3 linked regions of the Drosophila melanogaster genome follow. The protein of the gene in region 1 interacts with the protein of each later gene in a pairwise test. Each region holds a gene or a part of one and is shown in the gene's direction. Other genes may lie near its edges.

Region 1 (5,985 bases):
ATTACAGTGTGTTACAGCTTAAATTTAAGTAAAAAGTGGAAACGAAATAAAGTTACCCGTGACCGTAGAACCGATTGGTGGATGTTTTCTTTAAAAGCTGGCAAGACGGCTTATGTGGAACAACAGTTTGTTTGGTATTGGCACTTGTAAATGCATCCACGCTTATTTTTAAAGCTTTTAGTATCAATATCTTGTGGCTAAACTATGGAAACTGTGCTCGCAAATAACATGGACTTGGTAGAACGACGTCAGAAACCGATGTACACGCAAAGTTGCCAACTGGAAGGAATATTTCTAGTAATGGTGAAGTTTTAAGGGTTCCCTTAAGTAGGCTTGCCTATAAAGATATATGTCAGGAAATTTTTCGAAAAGCCAGTAACTTTCATTCGTTCGCTAGAAATCTGGGAGTAACTTCTCACTCGCAAGCAATCAAATAATTTCTTATTCCCGTCTCAACAAACGGATTAAAATTTACTCATGTGGCCCACACTTCGTAAACCCATTGGCAAGTTTAGCGGGCCGCTGATGCGTTATGGGAGTGGATATCCAGGCGGCTCTCCTGGGGCGGTAGTTAATCCAAGGTCAACACGCAGCTAACCATTCTAAGAACTTACAATTTCCCTCACAGAACTTACCCTTTGGCTTGGATAGTCCAATGCGTTTCACACTATTTTACCTAATTGCGGGAGTCGTGGGCTTTGGGGCTCCGTTCCTAGTTATTCGCCATCAGATGCTTCGTAATGTAACCAATGATCCGTAAGTAATCCGAGTAATCCAATAAAATCGTATCGTTATTAATGTTTGCTTTACAGCAAGGATGAGTAATCCCAAAATGACATAGAACACTCGTTAATAAATTAATAAAAATACATTGCACATGGAATTTATTGTCGTACATAATTTGTAACACTTGGCATGGTTTTCTTTACATTAGCTAAACATAATTTTCGTTCGAAATATCAGTACAAAGACCTCCACTGGCGGCGATCAAGGAAATTCGTTAATTAACTAAGCTTTCACTGGGACAAACTACAGTTCCTCTTTGCCATCAAAGTCATACTCCTCCTGGACCGGCGATTCGTCGCAGTAGCTCGCTTGTTCTGAGCAGATCTTGATGTCTAAATCGTTTCCGAGCTCTTCGGCCTGGAAGGCTTTAACGAAGATCTCATCGTTGTCCTCCAGTACTTCGTTGCAGAAGTGCCCCAGGCTTTTGTTGAGATCACCATCTTGCACAAAGTCAACCAACGAGGAGTCTGGGTTCATCTGACCATTGATGATCATCTTGAGGAGTGTGAATTTCCCGTTGCTCTTGTAGGTTGCCTTCAAGTAGTCGTCCATTTTTTCGCCTTAGAACGGGAAAATATTAGGAATGATAAGCAAAGTGTTATCATTAATAGAATACCACATATAACTATCTTCATTGATAAACAATAGCTACGCTCGAAGGTAAAACTTTTGACTAACGTCAAATGTTTTAAGATTAGACTGGTCTTTATCAAGCCTCTATGCTATTCCGTACCATATGGTAATAATTACTTACAGATCTTCTCCATCAGTTCGGTAAGGAACATTTCAGATTTCACTAGGCGAACTTTCTTGCTGATCGAATTTCCCTGTGCGTCCAGCCGGAATCCACTGACATCGGCCATCTTGTGGGGGTCCTCCTTGGCAATGGCCTCCTCCAGTTCCGTAACCACGGCCTTGCACACTGTAATTTATGGAACCTCAATTATCCGGGCTCCCAGGGCCAGCCAACAAGTGCACTGCCGCCTGTTGCTGGCGCGCTGTTATGTGTGGATTCTCCTTACCGTGACACTTGACCTCGCGGGAGGTGAAGCTGTAACCTTGGGCCAAGGCCAGCAGGCCGAACAGGATAAGCGCCTTCGTCAGCATCTTTTTAATTGATTGTTTAATAGTTTAACGCGTGGAAACTAATTGCATTAACCACGTCAGCAGAAGCGCCTTCCGTTTAAAAGTGCGGCGTTGATAAAGACGTGTGCTGTATTTACGACGACTTAAGAGCGACGTGGTTCTTGATGCTCTGCAGCGATAAGTGAAGAATTCTACTTAATTTATGCCCAAGATGTGGTGACGAGGGACGCGGTCAGTGGGTCTGGGTCAGCGTTCACAAGAATTGTGGTAAACGTTTTAAAGAAACCTTATTGATAATACCCGGCTATCGATAGAACTTTTCTAGCTAACGCCAGTTTTGGCTATCAAATATTTTTAAGGTGACCATCTCTACCTATTTTAAGCTAAAAATGAAATATGTGTACTTGTCGTTAAGAGATTTAATTTGATGATTCACATAAAATGATGTCGTTTAACATTTGTAAATCGTTTGAACAAAAAAAATATCGATAGTCAAGTGCGCGCGTTAATTCAAATCTTGATCGTAGCACGATGCACGTTGAAATGTTTAAGTTTGGGGGAGAGCTGCATTATATACATATGTGCATCTCAATTCTCGTATTCTCTTAGCTCTAGATCGAAAACTTATGTACATTAGCCGATGTGCTACTATATAGTGAGCCGATAACTGAAGAGTCAGTGCAAATGGAGAATCGCTCGCGAGTGGTTGCTCTGTTTTCGGATCGAGATGTGAGGACGAGGGGTTCGCGTAATTAACCGGCAAAGCGTTTGTAAATTAAAAGAAACCCACAAGTCGGCCGCGTTCCTCGATTTCTACATACTCTTATTAACCATTATAATTGGCGTTAATTAAGTGTCGTGTTTCTCTCTCGGCGCGTGTTTCTCTTCCCTATTCCCCTTGTTCGCTTGCACTGATGATCATTTTTCTTGGCGTCTGTTTGTTTGCTCGGTTAATTGATAAGAACGAATTGTAGTCGTCGGACTTGCCGTATTTATAGAGCAATGCCGCAAAAGAAACGGAAATGCAATGCAAATTGTTGCTATACCTTTTAGCGTAGGTTCAATTTTTTGACCCTGCCAAACGGAAAGTGGCATTCGCGGGCTACGAGATAAGCGATCGATGATAATTTATTCAGCTATGAATGAGTTCGAGAAGCACCGCAATCTTAAATAGAAAACACATAGATTTAATGTGGATTTTATTTAAAAATATATAGAAAAATATATATCTCCTTATTAAAATCAAGTGCAACGGCACAAACCTTTAACACAAACACCTTTAAAGCCCTTCTTCGAACAGAGGGAATTGCACCGCTCAATGCAGGACTGTCGCCTTGGGCGGACATGTTCCTTCGCATCCTGGATAAGACTCCTTTGAAGCTCCTTTTGCAGAAGTCTATTCTCGGAATCCTTCGGAATAGATCGAACCTGCATTAAGCAAACCGCAACTAGAGTTAGCGCCAGAATAATCGTGATCTTCATGTTGTGATATGAAATCGAGAACTGTTCCAGCTCGTTCAGGTTGCATTCGTGTTTTATAGTAAATTGAAAGGCTGCCGGTTTATGATAATGAGTATTTTTGTCGTAAGAATAGAAAATATTATTGTTTCTTTTCAAAGTTATGCGGAATAAAGTATATGCGAAAGCTGTTTCCGTTTGTTGCTCAGTTAGAAACTGACTAATTATGCCGTTATATGACATTGTATGTTTGGAAACTACAGCAAAAGCTTTATGTAACCAAATTATATTAAAGTACAACGCAAACAATCGATGGGAGAAATTATACAAATTTAAAAAGAATTTCAAATTTGTATTGCTTTTTTAAGTAAAGTTTACTGAGCTTAATATTTCTTTATTAAAATCTGCCTTGAATCGCCATGAAGACCAATAACTGCTCCCGTTAAGAGCTTTTTTAAACAAAGTAAATATATACGTATATATTTGGTATATATAGATCGTGCTCCTCGGGACCTCAATTTTTTTTTTAGCTCGATTAGGTTTAGTTAACTTATATGGTAAGTCGCTAACGCTAATGACCGATATTTTGTTGTACGAATTGGTAATGATAAACGCAGATTATTTTCACAGACTAAGACTAAGGAACATACACAAGGAATAATTAAGTCGTTCTTCTATGACTTTGAAAGTTATAAAGCCAAAGAAATATAAAATATTTTGAAAATTTTCTGTGATCAATATTTATTATTAAAATAGTAGCTTAACTATTAAGAAATTTTTACAGTCCCAGTTCCTTCTTACCAATTATTTCCATAAAAAGTAATTAGTAATAATTACAAATCATTATAATATTTAAATATCTGTCGATTAAAAGGATCCATTTATATATAGAATTTTTCAACGTTTTGTTTTATGTGTGACACTTAAAAAACGAAAATTTTTGGTGTACACAGAGCGAAACGAAATCAATTGCGGCAAACGCAGACGGCCTTGTCGTTGCAGTAGCCGCCTTTGAACCCCTTGGCAATGCAGTGGCCGGCGCAGGCGGTGTGGTTCCAGTTCCACTTGGAGAGTAGGTCGCATGTGGCTCGCTTCTGGCGGCTATGCTGCAGCACCTCCTGGTGGGCATCCTCATGCACCAGGACATGATCCTCTGGAATTGGATCCACATCGGAAACTGGCTGAGCCTGCGCCACGCAAGCAAGCAGAGCAAAAGCGATAGCCACGAGAACGAAGAACTTCATCTTGGAATACAACTGGAGAGATACTGTTGTTGCAGATTGTGGTTTCGCCGAGCTTATATAGCAATGCGACGGGCTGATCGATTCGGCCCAGGGACTCCCACCCGGTGACTTACCTTCCCATTGTCTCTTTTTCTGTGCAGGAAGACACGTCTCGGGGGTTTTTAATTTTTAAGTTCACTGCAAATGGGAGAAACCGTTGTCTAGATCATTATTTCATGTGCTTTGCCTGGAAAATATTGACAATATTTCATAGATAAGAGCAAAATACAGCCGACAGAGCCCGTTTCTGCAATAAGTTATTTGCATTTCTAGGGATTTTAACTGCCTTAAATTTTAGGCAGTAAAGTATATTCCACATGACAAGTTAATTGTAAAAAGCAACATCTACGAAATTAACCATTTCAAATTGTTTAGGCCTTACTTGAGAAAGAATCTTTGGTTTGCGAAATATGCAGGATATTTGTATATATGCAACGTTGATAAAAGCCTAAGTAAATATGTGCCCTTTAGTAGCATCCAATTTCGATTTTATTACTCCCAAACTGTTGAAATTAGCTGATGTAGGGGAATCCATATTTAATCATCTGAATTTCTAGCTAACTGACCGATTGGGTGCCACTTTAAGGGCTATACTCACAGCTACACAGCTACACAGTTGGCTCAAGCAACTGAGATACTCGGTTACGGATACATAAACACATGCGACAATAAATAATTTCTACCGAAAAGTCTCTTCATAATGCCGGGCAAATAAACAAACAAGAATCACACAATGATTAGTTGGGCATACAGCGGCAGGGGCGGGTGTACTTGTATCTGAATCCGTATCTGCGCGTACGTGTATCTATATCTGTATCGGCATCTGCATCTGGTTCTCAGCCCAGTCGCGCTGAGCCGACAATCCCGATCGAATCCCACGACCGAGGCTTTTTCAGTTGCCCTGCTCCTTGGCTGGCCGTTGCCTGTTTACCTTTGTTATCGACCAGGTTGTCTTGTCTTGCATTTTGGCGTCATACTGTCTGCCAGTCCACTCCACTTGAGTTTCTACCCCGCCCCTTACAACCGTCTACAGTCTAGAGTGTTGCCCGCATGCCCATCTTCACACGAGGAGAAAATATCGAATCTTTTGCGTTTCCACAGAGAGTCTTTAATATCAATACATGAGGATTTTTTTGTAATATGTAAAGGCTTATAGATAGGTGTACGCATCAGAACTGCATATGTACATCCCAAAATCCAAATCTATAGATCCCTCAATATTGTAGAAGATTTGGAGTTAGCTAGAGTTGCTACTTCTGGACGAAGGTACTATTTACAAGTACAGGTATATTTTCCCCAGTGCATGCTCGATCATCGAAGAAGACCACAAAACGGAGTGTGGCACAGCCGAAAACAAAGTGACGGCAGGAAC
Region 2 (8,404 bases), on another chromosome or scaffold:
CTCCGACGTCAGCGGATCCCGGCTGGCCATGCAAACCTACGGTGGCGACTGGCTCACTCGGTCGGGCAACGGGCGTCTGTACTTCCTCCAGTTCGCCCACTTCTTCTGCGGCGACGAGGGCGACCAGTACCATGACTCCGGCAGCCAGCGGCTGAACTACGCCCTCGGCCAGGTGCCGCAGTTCGCAGAGGTGTTCCGGTGCCATGTTGGCTCCGGAATGACCAGCGCGGACCAGTGTCCCTTCTGGTGAGGGATGCCCAGAGACGGTCGGTGACTCCCACTGCTAGTCGGTGTATAGCTTTAATTAGGAACCCAAGTATTGTGAATAAACTTCTATGCTTAGCAATTGCGTATGCGGTTCGCATCTGTCGGGCGGATTTTCCGACACGGACTGAGTTAATTTTCAATTACGTGTGCAACGTGATAGACAAGACATCGGTGAGCAGTAGATGCCCTTCCAGGATGTTCGCTGTCAGGCACTGAAAAAATAGGGGGGTAGGTACTCACACCTACGCAGAGGAAATAAAGAAAATGGGATGCTTCCTTCAGTCGAAATATTTAACAGTGTGAGCGAGAACCTTTTTAAAAGTACAAAATGTTTCGACTCTGTTTGTGCACCTTGAACTTTTGCCGATTTCCTCTGCCGAAGAGCTCACGTGTGCTTTTCCTTGCTTGCCCACGGTGCGTATGTGTTACCCGGCGTGCTTTTATTTATTTGCTAATTAACACCCATCCTGCGCGGAGCAGACGGCAGCCCAGAGGGCGACGACCATCCAGAATCCGACTTAGATTCCAAATCCCGGCCCCAAGTCGGTGGTTGCACTGTGCAACTTGTTGAAGGTCGTCGCGCAAATCGCTCATACGCCGCGTGGGTCTTGAAGGCGCGTGGCAAGCGGTCGGTTTCGCCTGGCAACCGCATTAATGGGCCATTAACAACCTGCCGGGATGATAGCGCGTGAGCCGCGTGTCAAACAGCGGTCAGCCCCAAATCGTGGTTGTTTCCGATGAATGGGCGACCGTACGTTTGTCTTTGCCCCACAAATGGACTAGAAACGGGAAACTTGAATTGATTCTGCGATAAAGAACGTATGCCTCGAGACACTCGAGCTACTCATGTGAAATGGGGTGTGGGGCTCAGTCATCTAAATCAATATTCTGCGGTTCCAATTTGGTATGTTTCAGATTATTTTCTAGTTTCTTGTGAGTCAGCAAAATGTAAAGGATAAACACATCTTTAGCAGTCTGAATTCCAGAGCTCATCCAACGCGGCTACATTATGCTGAGTGTGGGCTATTGCGATATGGCCAGCAGTTCCTCTTTCCGTCGAACGGCTTATCAGTGCTGAATTTCATTCATTCATGTAATTCAAAGCGGCTGTGCATTATATTTGGGCTGGCTTATAATTAGTTTTAAAATAAACCGCTTGGCCAGCGGAACGCGGAAAGCCGAGTGACGCAATCGGAGCAGCGAATTGCGAATGGTGTGGTGTTAGTCGGAAGCCAGCAACAAACTCGCTGCTTCTGATCGCCACGGCGGTGCTCCACTCGGCTCGGCTGAGGTTCGTTCCTTGACCCCCGGATTCCGGCGGTCTTGCCCGCCACTCGGGGTTCCATGTCACGTGCGCTCGCTCGGCGGAGTAAGTATGTATGTATGTATGTGGGTCTGTGCGGAATTGATTGATTTGCCAGCGAAGGTGGCGCACTGGAAGACAGACAGACAGACAGACTGACAGACGGACGGACGGACTGATAGGGCTGATGAAATTACAAGTCGCGCATCGTCATTCAGACCGATTGTGGGCATGTTATGCGAGTAAACGGATTTTGCGGCAATGAAATAATTGCCAACATTACAGAACTGGTAGTGTCTAATTAACCCGCACTGATAAAGCGGGGTACATGCCGCCGCTCAGATTTTCAAAATTGCATGGCCCTGCATTGAGTGCCCAAAATCTGAAACCAAATATTCGCGTTCCGGTGTCGCCGACAGAAGCGGTGGCTACTTAGCAAGTGGAACCACTGCGTCCCCGTCCATTCCAGTTGGATATGGAACGCCAGCCACATGAGTTTATCATAAAGCACCCACTAAATTTTTGCCGCTGCTGTTGGCGACCACAATGTTTGTAAATGTTTTTCACCGTCGAATGGTATTTCGGGGATTGCTTTGTTTGTCATTTGGGGTATTTGCCAACTGACCAACTACTGTCCATCTGAATGATTTTGGTGTGCCTCTTTTGGCTTAAATAGCAATATATTCAGATACCAATAAAGGCACGTCTGATAGAATTCAGGCCACGGGAGCAATCCGTTTGAATTTATCGTATCATTGAGTTGTAAGCCGTTTTGGCCGTTAATAGCCATCGAATTCTCATATCTTCACTGGTCTGCCTAGAATATAAGTTATTGACATTCTAATCATTTTCTTGAGCCCATGATGATATTTAAAGTCTAGATTAGTTTACGGTTTAAAAAGCACTGAGCTTTGATGCTGATTCAATCAGCTGATTCTTAATTCGTGGTGATTGGCTTTATTATCAGCTGTGATATTCCGTAAAGCCGGCAAATGAGCCCTTAGATCGATGTAAATGTACTATGTTATTTGGCGCAAATAACCACGCTTTTTCGCGGTCTTTTGTTTACAAAATTAATTTGTAATTTGTTTATGAAGTTGTGCGTGTTAAATACTGTGTTGCCTAAAGTAGATCATAGTTCAACAAGGAAATCCTTAACAAAGTAAGTTAACTAATTTATATAAATAGCCGGCCTGTTTTAGAAAGCCCAAAAAAGGGTTAGAGAACGCTTTTGTCTTGAAAATTTGGAATATTTGGAAAGTATACCCTTCCCATGTAAACAACTTCAGCTTTGTGATAAAAAAATAGGCACTCCGTTTTGCTAAAAGTAAAAAAGCGCATTAAAACCAAAAATTAAAGATAAAATCGTTAAATATCAGGCAGTTAAAAGATGTATCCCATTATGGAACTTATCATTGTAGCTCTGTAACTCATCAGCTCCAGCTCTGCCACCTGAGCATCCGCAAATCTCAGCCCCTGATTTCATTTTATGGCTCTGTCGGTGTGAAAGTCACTTTGTGGCAAACTGCAAGCAAAGTTCTGCTTATCCCTGGGGTCCTGAATTCGGTTCGTTTTCGCTCCAAATTTCAGCAATAGTCAGATGAAGAATTTTCAGTGTGTGATTTTTATTGTGGCTGCAATTCGCCTGGGTCTTGTTAACATTCGCATTTTTCTCGGAAAATTCGTTCGGTTGCAGTATAATGATGATGCTGGGAGTTGATTTCGCTGAGTTACTGCAATAATTGGAATTTAAATTTTAAGGACTTTCCGTCAGCTGTCTTTCGAGTGAATCCTCGGTTATCCCTTCTTTCCAGAACCTTACATTTTACATCTATTGCACAGCCCTAATATTACCTACCTGTTTTCTTTGTTTCAGGTCACCTGGATATATATTTATAGCGGAAAGGTTCGCGAAAATAATTAAATATCGGTTAGCGCGAGGAAAATCCATCGATCCGACAGCTGCGGCTGTTAATCTTACCTGATCGCTGCTAGTTGGATTAAGGAAAATCTGAGGCAGTGGGTGGGCAATAAAATCTGCACCCAATCCATATTTTACCTGATCATTGTATATAAGCTATTAGCAAAATGCCAGAAAGCCACAGTTACAAACTGAAACGTCTAACGTCAACAACAAGACAGCAAACTAATACCAAAATGGTCCTAAGCAATTCCACGCCGAACAACCAGTCCAAGCACAACCAGATGGTAGTGGACACGGCAGCCATGAACAGTGATGATCTCAGCGAGCTACTGCAGCTGAACGCGGAGATCGAGGAACGTCGTCGCTCCAGCCGCCACGGAGATGCCAGCACCGCCTGTGGCCTGCTCCGAGCTACGATGACCAGGGAGGAACTCTTCGAGATTTCCTCGCTGGATGATGATCGCTTCCTGACCGCCCTGGAGTACCAAAACTCGTTTGCATCACCGCGCCGAGTGCAGGTTACCGACCTGGACTTGTCCAGCATCGAGAATCTGATGAAGTACTTCGACGAAGAGGTACCTGTGACGCCAACAAAGACACTGGGTACCACCAAGGCAGCGGGTAACACGGGTAAAGTGGCCAGCACAATTGCCAAGTTGGCCCTCCAGTCGGATCCGGTCACGCCGCCCAAGCCAAAAGTGGGTAGTGGCCACCTAAAGATCAGCGAGCTCAAGCAGAAATACGAACAGCTGCCGGAGATGGAGACGCCACGCTCTGCATATCAGGCTTCCAGAAAGGTATCCGCGTCGCTGCCCATGAAGGTCAAGGAGATGGCCCAGCTGTTTAACTCCAAGATCAGCCAGGTGATGCGACGTACAGAGGAACCACAGTATGTTCAGCTGCAAAATGAGATGTCGCCGGAGGTTAAGGCACAGAACCGCCTGGTGTCGCCATTAGAGTCCCCAGTTCAAGGACCCTGCCTGGTGGCCGAGGAAGTTTTCCGCGAGTTGAGCGTGAAGGACAAAGCCCTGCTGTTCAACAAGTTCATCGGTGACATGGCAGCCAAGCACCCCAAGTTCACTGCACATGCCGCAGATCTCAAGGAGAAGGTAAACAAACAGGTGGCACGAGGGGAGGTGGTGGCTGAACGACAAGCCAGTGTTAAGCATCTCGCCCAGGAGTTGGAAGCGAAATGTATCCTGGAGCCGGGATCGCCACCGCGACCAGGTGGTGTCTCTCCCCCCAAGACGACTGAGAGCAAAACGGAGACATGCACCTCCCAGCTGCATGTGAGCACCCTGACTGTGATCCTCAAGCCAAGTCCAGAGCGCAGAGCTCCACAGCCACGACCCCGCCGATGCCTGGATCGTCAGAGCGATGAACATGCCCGAGAGCCATCCCAGAAGCGAAACCTCGCCGCGATTCGCACCATGATGCCAACGGAGGCCTATGCGCCACCAAAGAAAATCCGACGCACTCGACAGGAGCGCACCGGTGCGGATAGCCAAATGTTTTTTCAGAACGAACACCTCGAAACCCTGTTCTACAGCTGGCTCAGCTCGGAGAACGGTGTCCAGTTCGACATTACGAGTGTGTCTGACGGTCAGCAGACCATTGAGATAGCCACCGAGGAGGGTAATCTTCTGGAGCAACCGCTACTTGAGCCGAGCACCGCTACTCTGGAGGATGTGAGCCAAAAGTCCGCCGTCGAGCGGCTTCTGGAGGAGGCCATCGCAAAATTAGAGCTAGATAACGAGTCCAAGAAGGAGACACAAGTCGAGGAAAAGAAGGAGATGGATACAGCTCAGGATCCCATCGTTCAAGTCACTCCGCGACGCATTAAGCGCCAGGCGCCGCCAGTGCCAGCCCCACGACCCAGTCTAAGTCAAGTTACCTCCAGTGCATCCAGCTGCAAGCAATCCGAGGCTGAGGAAAGTGAATCCGGGTTGTCTACACTCCCCAAGGTAAGTGATATCTTTAATAAGTGGATTCATGAATGTTGACTCATTGTTCTTAATTTTCTATCACAGATAACCAGCGACGAATCCCAGCCAGAGACGCCCAAGGATGACTTGCAGACAGGTGAATTTGATTTTGCCAAGCCCCAGCGTCCGCCACGCAAGAAGAAAATGCGCCGAACTCTTACATGGAAAAAGGAGAACTCCATTGTCGAGGCCACTGCAATAACCTCAACGGACTCCGATTCAGATTACAAGCCTCCGCTATCAGGAGCGGCCAAGAAGAAGTCCGGTGCTATCTGTAACCCACTTCCAATGCCCGAGCCAAGTTTCATTGAGTTGGATAAGTCACTGATGCGCCACTTGAACTCGCCCCGGAAGATCAAGTCGGCATACACCCTCACCGTGATGTCATCTCCCTCGCCGAATGCAGACAGCGATCAGTCTCCTAGTCAGACACCAAGGCAATCCCTGGTACAGGCCATGCGGGACAGTTTCGTGGATCAGGGCTTTGAGACATGCTCGAACGATCCGATGGACAACAGTCCGATACGCCGATCTTCGCTTGGAGCCACGGAATCGAAGCCATCCGGTTTTTCCACGCCAGTTAAGGGACGCCATGCTTCCAGTCCGGCGCAACAACAACTGTTCAGTCCGATTCTCATCCAGGAGCGCCCTCGTCGCAGTTCCCTGGCCATGCAAGTGATCCGGGAGGATCATCCGCTCGATCTGGACGCCACCTCCAGCTCACCCTCCACACCGTGCAGTGAGCGGGAGTTCTTCGCCAATGCCCCGACTGTTGAAATTGATAACTCCCAGGATGAGAGTCCGACCGGCAAGGCGCACTCAATGTTCTGGATCACCTCTGGGGACTTCACAGTCTCCCTGGAAATCTTCAAGAACAGCCCGGAGCGCCTGCGACTGCTGTACGAAATCTTCACCCAGAAAAGCTGGGAGACTCGTGACCTGGCCTTCGGAATCGACGGACACAAGTTCATTCGCGGAGCTCCCAGTTCCGACTCCGTCCGACAGTCGCTGCCCGAGCGTCCACCCAGTGTGAAGGGCTGCTCTCACTATTGGTTCGCCAGCGGAGATCTCGCAGTGCCCTTCAGCGGAAAACTGATGTCCAGCGAGAAGATCGAGCGGCTGTTTGCCTTCCTCAGCGGAGAGCAGTCGGAGTTGCGCTTCGGCGTTGACCACATTGAGTTCAGCAGCGTGCCTGAGTTCTGGCCCACCACCCAGAAGTATTCCATCGAGAGCAGCTACAGCATACTGGTGGGTCTGCAGACAGGTGCCAGCAATGGCCTGGAGGGTCGCAGCAAGTACTCCTGGCCCAACAGCAGCATCAGTGCCAACCAGGCGATCAAGACCAGCGACCTGGATCAGACGGAGTTCGAGTCCGATAGCTTCGGCAACAACAGTGGTAGGCTGTCCTTTTCGCCTGATCTCTTCTCCCTGGACTACGAGGCGGTTCCCCTGGACGAGCTGTTTGCCAAGGCTCCTCCCTCTGCCGCCACACCCGCCATGTCCGTGCCGCAAATGATGCAGACCCTCAAGCAGCAGCAGTCCAAACTTCGCAGTGTGGAGCAGCGCATTCGTGGCTACGCCAAGCCCGCGAATCTGGCCGACTCTTCGCTGGAGCACTGCCGCAACACGCCGCAATATGTCCACAAGCTGCGCTCCATCATCCGGGCCATTGACAACATTGGACGCGACGATGGCTTCCGCGGCTGCTCGATGGAGCAGCTCGAGAGCTTCATGTACTTCCTCAGCGAGTATGCGGATGTGTGCCTGGCCAACTGCAGCGAGCACATGGACAAGATTCTCGACACCCTGATGGACCGGAGGGCCGTGGAGGTCTGAGCGATGGTGCTACCTCATCGGGATCTGACTTTATTTTAAGATTTTATAAACAATTAGTTCCTAGACATTAACATATAATGTTACAAAGATTTTAGATAATAAACTTTAAAGAGAAAAGTTAAAGCCATTCAGTGTATTTCCTTGGGCATGCAGAGTCCAACAAAATCAGGGGTTCTGGAGGGCATAGCTCCTTGCTATCCTGCAGACACGTAGGAGTCTGGCAAGCATCACGTTTCCTGCAAGCACATGGTTTCTTTTTCTTGCTCTCATCAAGCAAATGCTCCTGTTGCATCAACTTCAGACATTCCTGGCCAAGGATACCATGTTAGTGCACATCCAGTGGCCAAGGGAATCCGTTTGGGGCCAAAAGGAGTTGCTGGGTTCGGTTCAATAACAATTTCACGTGCAAAAGTGCTGCGCAAACATGGTATCAGAGAAAAGTACTAACTATTAATGCAATAAATGGTTACTTGTTCAACATAAAATAAAAGTCCCGTCGACATTCTTTTGACTTTCAAATAAAAAATAATAGTTATATTTTTGCACAAGTACCACTGGTCAATATCAAGAACCACAGATTACTGAAATAAAAGTCGCTTAAGTTTTAAGAAGCAATCCCAAATACATAGATATTTTATTTGTTTCTTTCGCAGTGCCAGTTTGTTCCGCTCGGGGAGCAAGTTAATAAATATACATTATCACTCTTATCGTTAAGAAACACAAACTAAGGCCTATGATATATGTAGGTATTTAAATATATATATATATATGTATTTCTGTATGAGTAGTTTAGAACTTACATATTTGGATTTGGCTTTATTTGGATTATTTCTCAACTGTAAACCCGTCTTAACTGATCAGCTAACTAAATTATGTATCAACAGTTTTCGCTTCAATCGTGAATATTCGTAATTCATATTTGCTTAGTTACTTATTTAGGTTAATGGTTTTTGATTAATGCATTTTAGGTGCCTGTTTTTCAGAGTATTTAAGCCTTTCGCTTTCCCGTTAAATATCTAGTTTTGAAATGGTTTGATGCCTACTCTCGTACAAATGAACATTCATTTCTAGTGCCTATAACGAGTACAT
Region 3 (6,040 bases), on another chromosome or scaffold:
CACATGCAAACAGCATCCCTACAAGAGTTGGGCCTATTGGGCGTGCTATGTGAGGCACTTTACCTTCACCATTTACCATTATTCCGGCACCGCCAAGATGGGTCCCAAATCCGATCGAGCTGCAGTTGTGGACCATCGTCTCCGTGTCCACGGAATCAAGAATCTGCGAGTCGCAGATGCCAGCATTATGCCGGAAATCATGTCCGGACATCCGAATGGACCCGTCTTCATGATTGCCGAGAAGGCAGCCGATATGATTAAACAGGATCATGGTTTCATCCAGTGAAGCCATCTTAGCCCAAAGTTAATTACACAATCAGGTTTAAGCCCCATTTACACTGGCCTACCATCGAATCATCTCGTTAAATCACACCTTAAATGCAATGGCCAGTGTAAAATGGGGCTTTAGTTTTAGTTAAGGCCTTCGAAAACTTTTTGTTATTATGTGTAGTAATTCTTTCTTGCCTGAACTGATTCTAGTTTAAGATTTAGTTATATAAGCATAAATAAATGATTATAAGTTTTGTATGTACTATATAAACAAAATTCGTTTACTATGCAAGCAGAATTATTGAACTATATGAACTCTATAGAATGCATATTTGACTTTGGGAATTTTAAAATGATTAACTATCCAACTCCTTGAATACCAGAAAAAATAACAATAGTTATAGGCCCAAAAAATTCGTACTGCCTAAACCATTTGACTTTGACATTGAATTTTATTGGACTTCTGTCTTTGGCATTGTCTCATTTATATCAATAGGGATTTTCAACTCTGGCACTTTTCATGCTAATCAATTTGTGGCTTCATAATCAAAATCTGTGAAATACATGAAGTTGTCCGCTTGTTTGACGATTTTTTGTTTTGATTTATTACACGCCTTTGTTTTTGAGTTTCTCTCGATCTTTTTATTGTTGCGGAAATGATTTTTTTTTTATTCATCACTCTCGTTTTTTTTGCGTTCGTTTTTTATCTTGTCTAACGAACTTAGCCGGTGTGAATAATTTGTTAGGTGTTTTGTTCAAGCAATTTTCGGTGCTGAGTCTTTGGATTGATCTTGGTATAATTCGCATCGATTTGACCTTAGAATTATTTATGTATGTAGAGTGGGTATAAATCAGTCGAAAATTGAGAATAATTGCTTTGGTATAAGTATATCTTTCAATATCCCCAAGGGTAGGCTATATTAAAATTCTATTCAAATCGAAATGAAACGAAAAGCTTTGAGCTCAGCTTAAAGCTCTTGGATTTTATATTTTTCGAAGAATTTCAAAGCCGGCTTGTGATTCTAAATCACATTCGTCACTACGTGACTAGCCTTTGACAGTGCTTATTAAATTTAATATATTCACATATATTCTATAAACTTACATGTGCATATAGAAAACAAGGCAATTTACGTACAACTCAATTTATTTGTTGCACAAATTTTATTTCATTTACTTTTGACTAAATACCGAGTGAGCTATAGGCTATCCTATTTCCCATTGAAAACTCATGAAAACATTTCCCTTTCCTTTCGAAAAAAGTCACTAGACTTTTCATTAACACAAATTGAAATATTCATGAATCGAGGGGGCGGTTTGAGCCGCTCAAAAAAAAAAAGAAAAAGGCGAACACAATAGAGACAAATTTTGAATGCAATTGCCATGACCAAAACATGGCCCTTCCTCCGAATTTCACATCAATGTCCTCTGTGAAATCCCAGTCTTGTTCACATTTTGGTTTCATGTTCCCCTTTCGGCTGCTTTGGTTTTGTAAGGGCATCCAATGACTTTTATTGTGGGATTGGATGAACTGCATCCATATGCTGGGGTTGATACCAACTGCACTGAGCCACCCCTTTTATACATTTTTTTATTTTTGGCTAGACCTAAAGTCGTTTAATCGTTTTTGGTTTTGTTTTGTTTTGGTTTTTTCTTGATTATAATACTCTATGGGGTGGCTTGAAATATATATTAACCCTCGAGTGCCCGAGCCGCTGGTGCTTCAATCTTCAAAGATTTAACTGACAGTCCGGCATAAAAAATAAAAATATAAACAAAGCCAGCACAAGATGCCCATCCAAATGCCATTGAACCGAGCTCAGATGCAGAAGAAACACAGAGAGAAAACTAATGTATATAATATATGTATTTAAAATATTGCAAAAATCATTAATTTTAAGAAAAACTAATTACAAATTGCTGAAGAAATTAACCATTTACCATGGGTGTCTTTATCAAATCAAAACTTAAATGATCTAAATTTTTGTTTTCTGCATTAGAAAAGAGACAGAGGAACAGCAAATAAAAGAGAGGCAAGACCGTAGAGATGAGCAAGCAGAATGCGCAAATTAGCAAGTGGCAATAAAAATTCTGAGACAATCTCAGCCTGTTTTGGCCCTACAAACCTGGCCACCAAGTCAACCAACTCATCTCAACAGTGGAGGAAAAAAAGAAGACGTAGTGATGCGGAGAAAGGCGGCGCGAAAGAGAGGGGGGTATAGAGATCAGTGAGGGAGAACCAAACCGGCAAGATAATCCACAGTGGAGCAAGTTCCATTTGAAATAAAATAATAAAAGTTTCAATTAATGTTCACTAACTAACTTTCCACGCCCATAAATAAAAAGCGCAATAATAGTAAAATATAAAATAAATCACATATCTAGATTTTTTTGAGACTTTTAAAACTCGTTCCACAGTGCGTTGGCAGACGTAGAGGTCCAATATCACGGAAAGCTCGGTAGCCACAGAGTTCAGTTACCGGCCATCGCAACCATGGAGAAGCTGCTGCTGACCCAGCTTCTGTTTCTGCTCCTGATCCCACTGATCCACTCCCAAAGGAGCTCCCAACTGGACGAACTGCGGCGACTGGGATTGGGAAATGTCGTCAATGTGCCATTCTTCAGCGATGGTGAGGGTTTATTCAAATCATGGAAATATTCAAGTACCTATATGTGCTCCAATATAATAAGCGTATTTATGCCAGAGAGTTCCATGCTTTTAGTACTGGAAAATTTGTAATCGATTTAACACATATATTTTAAAATCTCCTTGCAGTTCCCCAAAGAAACTATGACTTCATAATAGTTGGAGGCGGAGCTGCTGGCTGTACATTGGCCGCTCGTCTCTCGGAGAATCCCAATTGGAGTGTGTTCCTTATCGAAGCCGGAGGAGTGGAGAACATAGTGCATCAGGTGCCATTACTGGCGGCCCATTTGCAGTCGACTGCCTCCAATTGGGGCTACAACTCGACGCCACAACGCCATGCCTGTCGTGGAATGCCCGATAACAAGTGTGCCCTGCCGAGGGGCAAAGTTCTGGGTGGCACTAGCTCGATCAATTACATGATCTACAATCGGGGCAATCGTAGGGATTTTGATGCCTGGGCGGCAGCTGGAAATCCCGGCTGGAGTTACGACGAGGTGTTGCCCTACTTTCTGCGAAGTGAGCATGCACAGCTTCAGGGATTGGAGCACTCGCCATATCACAATCACAGTGGTCCCTTGAGTGTGGAGGATGTGCGACACCGGACGCGACTTGCACACGCCTACATTAGAGCTGCCCAGGAGGCGGGTCATCCGAGAACGGACTACAATGGTGAATCCCAGCTGGGCGTTTCCTATGTGCAGGCCACCACACTGAAGGGCAGGAGGCACAGTGCCTTTCGTGCCTATATTGAGCCCATAAGATCTAGGCGTCATAATCTGCACATTCTAACACTGGCTAGAGTCACCCGAGTTCTGATAGATGCAGCCACCAAGTCCGCCTATGGAGTGGAGTTGACCCATCAGGGCAGAAGCTTTAAGGTGAAAGCCCGCAAGGAAATCATTCTATCGGCGGGTGCCTTCAACTCTCCACAGTTGCTGATGCTGTCGGGGATTGGGCCAGAAGATAACCTCAAGGCCATTGGAATACCCCTGATCAAGGCACTGCCAGTGGGTAAGAGAATGTTCGATCACATGTGCCACTTTGGACCCACTTTTGTGACCAACACAACGGGCCAGACTCTATTTGCCGCTCAATTGGGCGCACCGGTGGCCAAGGAGTTTCTACTGGGCCGGGCAGACACCTTTCTGTCCAGTATCGGTGGCGTAGAGACGCTCACCTTCATCAAGGTGCCGTCGGGCAAGAGTCCGGCCACCCAACCCGATGTGGAACTCATCCAAGTGGCCGGCAGCCTGGCTAGCGATGATGGCACTGCCCTGGCCAAAGGAGCCAACTTTAAGCCCGAGATCTACGAGAAAATGTACAAGAATCTGACGTTGAGGCAGCAGGATCACTTTAGCTTCCTCATCATGCACTTCAAGCCCGCCTCCGTGGGTCGCCTCTGGCTGCACAATCGCAATCCACTCGAGTGGCCACGCATCGATCCCAAGTACTTTTCGGCTCCGTCGGATGTGGAGAACTTGCTGGAGGGCATTAAGGAGGCACTCAGAATCTCCAAGATGCCGGCCATGCAGGCGATTGGAACCAGATTGTTGGACAAGCCGGTGCCAGGTTGTGAGAACTACGAATTCGCCTCGGATGATTATTGGCGGTGCTCCATACGCACGCTATCCTACACACTGCACCACCAGGTGGCCACCTGTCGCATGGGCGCCGAAAGTGATCCCACCACCGTGGTCAATCATCAGCTAAAGGTGCATGGAGTGAGGAAACTTCGGGTGGTGGACACCAGTATCATACCGTTTCCACCCACCGCTCACACAAATGCAGCGGCATTTATGATTGGGGAAAAGGCGGCTGATATGATACGATCCGAATGGAGTTGATTAACTCCAGATGAAGATCACCAAATCAGCGATTTATGTAAAGGGGTTAATAAAATGCGAGAGGAAAGTTTGAAAGAAAGCAAACGGGTAAAATCGTCACACGTTAAAAGCATTCGACAATTCTTTAATAATTTAAAAGATTGTGTTCCATACATAATTTTAAATCAGTAAGAAAAAAAAAATCACATTTTCATTGGATTTTAAAGGGTATCATATATCATTATTATTTTCAACATTTTGAAAATCTTTAATTCAAATTCATAAAATTAATAACATTTTTTTTTTTATAATAAATGCCATCGAAAATCTTTATAATTGACTTTTAACTCAATTGCCACCCGTTTTCGTTGAGTGTAGCGCCAAACGGGGTCTTCAGAACGGTTCGGGTCAATCCAATTTGGACCACGTCATGACCTAGCTTAATAAGTTCCCACCGATCCGTTCCGGTCTCGAACTGAACCGAATCCGAATCGGGCCAAACGAGGCATCCCAAAAACGGGTTTACGCACTCCAAGTTCAATGGCTCGTCAGTCTGGCCGACAAAAAAATACCAATAGAGCGCCGGGATTGGGTATGCCTCATCGATGATGTATGTACATATGTATGTATATACGATATTGTTGTTATTTTACATATTAACTTGAAGTGCATTTAGGGGCCCAACGCTGGGAGAACACGCGCCAAAGTTAAATGAACCCGCAAATGGTAGACGGCACTTAAAAAGTGAGAATCTTGTCATTCTCCATTCGCATTTGGTCAAACCAGGAAATGTGGCTATCATTTTCTGGATACCCTATAGTTTTAAGTTTTTTTTAATTTTCTTACAAAACTTGCAGCAATATATTTTACTGCCCAGGATATGGTTTTTATTGCATACTTTTAAGCACCTTTCGAATATTTCCTTTATAAACCTATTTAATACCTTAGATATATATATATATATATATATAATTACGTTAAATCACTGTAATTTTTCACCGTGTACATTTTAAACTAATCAAGAAGAACCAACTCATCTGAAACTGGATCAGTCTAAGTTTATCTTAATGACTTTCGGCACCTCAACTATGTTTTGATGCTTCCAGCTAAACTCTGCGATTTTCACTATTTATTTTTGTTTACTGCTAATTGGTGCTAATTTTATTTAGGTTTGTTTTAATTTCTTTAACCGGTTCTGGCCAACTTTGCTTTGTTTTTTATAAGTTTACTATTTCTGGTCGCCTTGCCATTTGGTTTATGTTGCTATTGTCTGGTGTTTGTATTTCGATTCGGTTAGTTT

Evidence for each region.
Region 2: the proteins of magu (region 1) and slam interact in a two-hybrid assay, tested with the Drosophila melanogaster proteins (one large-scale study listed by BioGRID).
Region 3: the proteins of magu (region 1) and CG9522 interact in a two-hybrid assay, tested with the Drosophila melanogaster proteins (one large-scale study listed by BioGRID).

What each region holds. Positions count from the first base shown.
Region 1 is NT_033778.4:10,049,994-10,055,978, forward strand, and holds the start of magu (magu), read left to right. Parts: upstream 1-2,547; 5' UTR 2,548-2,642; exon of another isoform or gene 2,643-3,002; intron 3,003-3,101; exon of another isoform or gene 3,102-3,400; intron 3,401-4,184; exon of another isoform or gene 4,185-4,295; coding exon of another isoform or gene 4,296-4,574; exon of another isoform or gene 4,575-4,583; intron 4,584-5,985. Other genes in the region: COX7CL (cytochrome c oxidase subunit 7C-like), read left to right, coding at 478-567, 629-756, 813-825; sel (seele), read right to left, coding at 1,030-1,346, 1,541-1,708, 1,809-1,893; Def (defensin), read right to left, coding at 4,296-4,574.
Region 2 is NT_033779.5:6,369,850-6,378,253, forward strand, and holds slam (slow as molasses), read left to right. Parts: upstream 1-2,538; 5' UTR 2,539-2,732; intron 2,733-3,446; 5' UTR 3,447-3,727; coding exon 3,728-5,458; intron 5,459-5,524; coding exon 5,525-7,315; 3' UTR 7,316-7,435; downstream 7,436-8,404. Other genes in the region: Nepl4 (Neprilysin-like 4), read left to right, coding at 1-250.
Region 3 is NC_004354.4:14,845,503-14,851,542, reverse strand, and holds CG9522 (uncharacterized protein), read left to right. Parts: upstream 1-2,734; 5' UTR 2,735-2,764; coding exon 2,765-2,900; intron 2,901-3,046; coding exon 3,047-4,761; 3' UTR 4,762-5,071; downstream 5,072-6,040. Other genes in the region: CG9521 (uncharacterized protein), read left to right, coding at 1-286.